2 separate regions of the Mus musculus genome follow, and region 2 is reported to be linked to region 1. Evidence: microRNA targets listed by miRTarBase, many of them from high-throughput screens and not tested one by one. Region 1 holds a microRNA gene; the other region holds the end of a gene's coding sequence.
The links. Region 1 holds the annotated microRNA mmu-miR-760-5p (CCCCUCAGGCCACCAGAGCCCGG, at 1,623-1,645, opposite strand). A microRNA usually pairs through its seed, bases 2 to 8, with sites in the 3' UTR of a target mRNA and lowers its output. Matches are read on the target gene's strand: a 7mer-m8 pairs with bases 2 to 8, a 7mer-A1 pairs with bases 2 to 7 and ends in A, and an 8mer does both.

Region 2: the mRNA of Iqgap2 is a reported target of mmu-miR-760-5p. Seed matches in the 3' UTR shown: 7mer-m8 at 1,039-1,045.

What each region holds. Positions count from the first base shown.
Region 1 is chr3:122,292,027-122,295,433 of GRCm38, forward strand. It overlaps Mir760 (microRNA 760), which reads right to left and starts at 1,677; the gene lies at 1,559-1,677. n-TRtct2 (a tRNA gene) reads right to left here and starts at 1,006; the gene lies at 922-1,006. It also overlaps Gm40190.
Region 2 is chr13:95,625,436-95,628,842 of GRCm38, reverse strand. Iqgap2 (IQ motif containing GTPase activating protein 2) reads left to right here. Exons shown (of 36, transcript NM_027711.1): 36 at 723-1,666. The coding sequence ends at 836. Among named protein-coding and RNA genes, the nearest start is that of F2r, 8.7 kb to the right of the region's middle.

The DNA of each region.
Region 1 (3,407 bases):
TGTAAAGATACACTTGTGCACAAAGAACAGGATGTCCACTCAAGGACTGCAATGGGCGAACAATGCCTGTCTAAAGGTCTAAGTATTAGCTATTCCATCAGCGGGACACAACCGAGCAGTGCAGCTCCACCTGTATTAACCGAAAGAGGTGAAATATACTGTGAAAGTGTGTTTTTACCGACAATTTTGATTTTTTTAACGGTTTGCATAAATTAGGGGTTTTGTCGGTACAGTGAATTTTTAAAAACTATGCATACTGGCACTTGGTGAAGTGAAACGCTCACTCTGTGCAAAGCTAGTTTTGTCACTTGTCAGAAGGGGACAAGACAGTAACTCTTGCCTCTAGCTGGCAGGCAAAGCCTGTCAACTCCAACCTGTCTCCTTTCGTGAAGAAAGCAGACAACCCCAGAAATGCAGATTTCTGGGCCCCATTCCAGATCCACCGAAATGGAATCATGAAATGACCACAGAGATCTGCCTTTTTTAAAAAACAAAACAAACAAACAAACAAAAAAACAAAACAAGATCCACTCGAGATTCCGGAGGCGGGGTGGGGTGAGGTGAGGTGGTGTACTTCTAATGCCTTCGGACTAGCTTGCGCATCCTGTTTTCTTGACCCTGCTGGCAGTCACTGTCAAGCTCCAGACGTGGAATGTCACTCGAGACCCAGGCCTATCTCAAGCTCTCATTTAGGCCAAGGTCGAGCACCTGGATTCTCTACTGCCTCCCTGTTCTCTCGACTGGGATCGGTCCGGGTCTGCTAAAGGGGTCTGAAAGCTCCCGGAACTCCAGGTAAGGGTTGCGGAGAGCAGCGGGAATGGTGTGTGGCTGTGCTGGGAATTAAGCCGTTTAGAATACAAAGAAAAGGAGTAAAAGACAGAAATCAAAGATAATTTCCTCGGTGACAAAAGAAAAATGTTCCGACTCCGCCGGGACTCGAACCCGGAACCTTTGAATGCCTTCAGCCTCTAGAAGTCCAATGCGCTATCCATTGCGCCACGGAGCCACCTGTTGGAGGTTCCGCGCATCTGCCGTATTAAGCTAGAGGCAACGGCCCTGCTCCCGGGCCGACACCATCGCGGCCGCCTCCGTCGCCGGAGCCCACCCGCCGCGCCTAGGTCACCTCCAACGGTAACGGCGAGGCCGGCGAGCGCCCAGCCGCCCGGGAACCGCCGCTGCTCAGCTCAAGGGCCGCGGCTGCGGGCCGTGGGTCGGGAAAGCGCAGCGGGAGCCAGTCGTCCGTGGCCGACTCCGCCTGTCCCTCCCCGGCTCCCCGCCTGCCCCGCAACCCCGCCTACCGGTGTCCGGAGGCCGCTCCCCTCCGGCCCGGGCCGCCGAGGCTGCAGGCCCAGACCGGCCGTTGCGCCGTCGCGCCGGGCACTTCTGTCGCCACCTGCGAGAGGCGAGGGCGAGCGGCCGCGCCCGGGGCTACGAGGCGAAGGCGGCGACCCATCGCGGGGCCCCCGGGCTCTTCCCTGACGCCTGGACCTGCGGCTGCGAGTGCGGGCCGAGGCGACGTCTGTGTGCGTGCTTGTGCGTGTTTATCTGCGCGGGGCTTCGGGGAAACGGGGTTTGGGTTGCATTTCGCTCCCCACAGACCCAGAGCCGAATTTCTGAGGTATCCGGGCTCTGGTGGCCTGAGGGGGGCGACGCGCCCCGCACCGAGGCATCCTCCCGGGAGCTTTATCCACTATGCCGCCGCCGCCGAGGAGCGGCCGAGCCGCGCAGCCGCCGATGCCCGCGCGCGCCCCACGCGCGTCCGAGTGGGCGGCCTCTGGAGGCGGACGGCGCGGGTGGGGATCGCGCGGGTGCGAGCGCCTCGGCTGCAGGGCGCGCGGCCGAGCGTGATGGCGGGGTCCCCACATCCCCCACCCGCCCGGTGCCAGCGCTGGACCCCGCATTTCTTTGCTCAGAAGGGCGGGGTCGCCGCGAATCTGAGCGGCGGCGTGGGAGGGAGTGGGTCTTCGGTTCCCTAATCCCCTCCCCATCTCCATCAGGGCGACCCCGAAGCCCGAGGGAAGAGAACTAGCTAAATAATAAAAGCCCAGTTGCTAGGCAACGGCCGCTGCCAGACAAAAGCCCAGGCTCCGGCTCCAATCAGCGTGCGGCTCTCTCGACCCCGCCTTCTTAGGACTCGCGTGGTGCGACCTGACGCTGACACCTCTGCACCAAACCAGCTTCCGTCTGTGCCCACCGGGTGGTCTCTGCCAGGCAGAATTGGCCATCAAAGGATAGGGTCTTTGCCTCGCACGGTTCGCTAAAGGGGGAGAGGAAATTCTCAGTGGGGAAGGGCATTTTTATATTAAGGGGTAAGTATCAGCGTCCCCATTATCGAAGGGAAAACCGCAGCTACAGTAAGTTAAATCACACACATAGGAGTACCCCAGCTAGTGAGGCAAACTATAAAGAGTCAGACTTTATTCTACCTTGCAGGCTGATTACATTATCTTTCACGGCTTTATCGATATTGACAGAACACGTGTGGACTATTGACGACAAAAGCAGTAGCCAGAGGGGCAGCATGTTTATGAGTTCCCTGAACTCGGATTCTCTGAGGAACAAGGCATATGGGCCCCAGATGCATGCTTGCACACAAAATGGTTTTCATTACAGGCGAGGATTGCTGAGCTCAGAAACTACTATGTTTTATGGTGAGCGGCAAGCAAGCCTGTTCTTTGTTCTGTCGGGAGACATTACCTCATCTCAGAATTGCTCCTTGCAAACACAACTCTGAAATAGGGCCCAAAGAAAGTGATTGGCCTGGCGTTCTTGGCATACCCACCAAGAGCATGAAATGACACTGCTGGTGACTTGCCTCTACAGTGACAGAGTTCTGTCTGATGCCAGGCCTATTTCATTCCATAAGAGCACTTTCCTTAACAACAAGGGTCTTAAACATTGTTATGCCTCTTAAAATGGCCAATACCCCTTGAAATAGAACAATACATTAAAACCAGCTCTTTATAAACAGTATCTTTACTGAAGGCTGCAATATGTTACTCGCTGGTGACATCTCAAGGGCTCCAGTGGTTCTTAATACTTGTTTACGGCTCGCGTAGGGAAAGAGACACTCAATGCTCGCTGTGAAAACAATACAAAGAAATTTTACCTGGAAGCGTTGGTGCAAAATCTCCAATTCTGCGGCGTCGTGGACGTGCTTAGCGATTGTGACTCATACTCCAAGTTCTAAGGAAGGAACAATAAAGCATATGCTAAGGAGAGATGTGCAGGTAATCATAATGAACTAAAGAGTTGGAGATAGTTCATGCCTTCCGCTGGTTGAGACCTAAACATTCTCATCTATGAGCAGCAAGACTGAGACAGCATTAGCAGAGATTATGGGGGAACCATGCTTGTGTGAAGCATTTAAGACAAGGTCCTACGGCTGGATGTACGGCAGATAACGT
Region 2 (3,407 bases), not on the chromosome of region 1:
GGCAGGCGGATTTCTGAGTTCGAGGCCAGCCTGGTCTACAGAGTGAGTTCCAGGACAGCTAAGGCTACACAGAGAAACCCTGTCTCGAAAAAAACAAACAAAAAAACAAAAAAAAACCAGGGCTTCGAAAGCCCTGAGTTTAATTCCTGGAACTCAGATGGTGGAAGGAGAGAACTTTCACATGTTGTCCTCTGACCTCCACATGCATGGACGGACACACACACACACACACACACACACACACACACACAAAATTTTTTAATTGTAAGACTGAAATGAAAATCGTGTCTGATATTAACTGGATAATAATTTTCTTTCATGCAGTTTTTTTTCCCAGTGCTGAAGCTCAAGGCCAAAAGCTCTCACACACAAACTAGCTCTGTACCCCCAAATTATAACTGCAGCCCTCTCTCTATCATTAAAGTCATTTTCTTCCACGCAGAGCAGTAATTCTCTAAGTGTGTCCTGACCACAGCACCACTCACTGTCACTTAGGAACTTGTTAAAATGCAGCTCTCACCACAGAGCTGCCATAGCACAAGTCCCCAGGCCCAGGGCACGGGATTCCAAGTCCTAACTCACCTGTATTGTTAAGCCGACTAATGCTTTGGAAGCCACAGTGGGATTATTGGATCAGCCGGGTCTATTTCATCATTGATTCTTCCAGTCTGTTTTTAAGCAACGACGTCACACTGCGATGTCACCCTTCCCTCCCGTTCCAGGACTTACTTCAGATGCAGTATGAAGGGGTGGCCGTGATGAAAATGTTCGACAAGGTGAAAGTGAACGTGAACCTTCTCATATACCTGCTCAACAAGAAGTTCTACGGAAAGTGACGTGCCGTCTGCCGAGGGACTCGTGGATTCTCTATTGCCTGCCTTGAGAAATGGGCTTGTCTAGTATTTTTGTTTGAAAACATGATTGGAATCACGGCTTATAAGTGTCTGAATTTTTTTTAAGACCAAAACTGTTCTGAAGAATGTAGCCATGTGCCTTTTTGATAATTGGATACTGCAGCAGAGGGATAGACAAGATGGGCTGAGGGGACACACACACACACACACACACACACACAGTACTGTGGCACAGGTACTGCCTCGGAAAGTTCTGAATACCCTGTGATCTATTTTAAAGTAGGGGGGAGAAAGTTTAGCTGACTAGGGACAAATGTATAAACCTATTTTCCTATGAAAAGAAATTTTAAATGTCCCACTTAAATGATTAATTCTTCATAGATTGTTTTCTATCTGTGGAGAAATAGAGATCTAATTAATTTGTAATGAATTATTTAGACATAGAGTTCTAAGCCCTGTCTTCTGGGAATTATCAGTTTTAAAGAGAACTTTTGTGCAATTCCAAATGAAGTTTTTATAAGTAATTGAAAGTGATGATACAATAACACTTTCTGTATAAAAGTATATATTTTATGTGATTTATTCAATTTACTCCAAGTGCACTACTGCCTCATGGGAAGGCTCCTGTATGGGAGTCACAGGAAACACGGTGGACAGCAGGTATAGACCCCCACCTTCACCCGCACCATTTATTTGAATACTTCAATTGTGCCTCTCAATTTTTTTGTAATGCTATCAAATCAGTATCCAGATGGTTTTTAAATGTATTCTTTGAAAATTGTTTTATGTAAAATAAATGTTACTTAATTACATGAATGTGGTAGAGTTTTTTTTTGGGGGGGTGTTTTAATAAGTCCAATTTACTTAGTGGGTAGAAGACTCTTGGTGGGACTCATCAGGGAAAGAAGTCATATACCCAGAGCTGTGCAGATTAGGGTACAGAGAAAGCTGCTGCAGGAGGGGACACGGGACTTCAAGTTCGACCATCCGTAGATGAGCTGATCCACAGGCAATCTAGAGATCCAGTCAGCCTTGTACTTACCACTCATCCCAAGCCGAGGCGGGGAGAGGGGCTGAAGGTCAGAACAAATCTCTTTGAATTACAAAGGTCACGCTTGCCTCCTTCCTGTTGGCTAATAGTAGGTTCCAGCCAGCTAGAGTCCTCACCTCAGTCTGTTTTGTATGGTTATAACGAAATGTGCTTGTAGCTGGGCACTCTGTAAGACAGAAATGCTCATTTAATTCCAAGTTCTTGAGGGCTCTGATAAGGGCAGCAGCTGCTCATATTCCATAATAGTACATGAGGAAGAAATGAAGCACCCAGGGGCCAAACCACCCTTTCCCATGGGTCGCCTAAGACCATCAGAAAACAGAATATTTACACTATGACTCATAATGTATTATAAAATTCAGGTATGAAGTAGCAATAATATGATAATTGTATGGTTGGGGGTCACCACAGCACGAAGAACTGTATTAAAGGGCCGCAGCCTTGGGAAGGCTGAGAACTACTGCTTTATAGAACAATCCACTCTGCCCCCAAGCCCTAATCCAGCCTCTTGAAGACACTACTCTATTCATGAAGTTAGAACTCCTACGGTTTAATTAACCGTTAAAGGTCCCACCATCTCCCAACATCTTTATTGAGACTCAAGCTTAAAGATGGGTTCAATACACAGTCCAAACTGCTGCGGTGGTCTCTAGGCCACTAAGAATCCAGTTAAAACAAGCAGTGAAGAGAGAACGATCTGTTATTGAAAGAAAGAGAAAGCATAGTAGGAGTTTGGGCCTTTGGGCTAGACCTTCCCCAACACCTTACTCATTTATTGAACAGGTTTTATTTTCCTTAGGGATTGTAAAATCTGCTTATTAGAGAAAAATGAACTTAAGTTTAAAATCAACATAATTTGGAAAATTCTCAGAAAGTAGAGTCCTATTTTTTATAATTTATTTTTATTTTATGTGCATTGATGGTTTGCCTGCATGTATGTCAGTGTGAAAGTGTCCGATCTTGGAGTTATAGACAGTTGAAAGTTTCCGTGTGGTTTCTGGGAATTGAACCTGGGTCCTTTGAAAGAGTAGTCAGTGCTCTTAACCACTGAGCCATCTCTCCAGCCCCAGAATCCTCTATTTTTCATAGCTGTTTCAGACTACATTGTTTTTTCAATGTTTACAGTTTCTATGTGTATGAGAGTATTGACCTCATACGTGCATGTGCCCCCTGTGCATGCCTGGTGTCTATAGCTGTCACAAGAGGGCATCAGACCCCCTGGCACTGGAGCTAAGGACAAGCCATTGTGTGGGAAATGGGAATTGAACCTGGGTCTTCTGCAAAAGTAACAATTGCTGTGAACTGCTGAGCCATCTCTCTAGCCCCAAGCAACATATATTCTTGACAAATACTGCAGAACAATTCTATCACAACAATTGATAACCCTGGGAGTAGTTTGTTTTTGTTGTTTTGTTTTGTTTCACTTACACATCATTAGCCTTAATGTGACTCTTAGTAGAAGCAATCGGGTAAGTTTCATCTTAAGAGCAAATTTTCCTCTT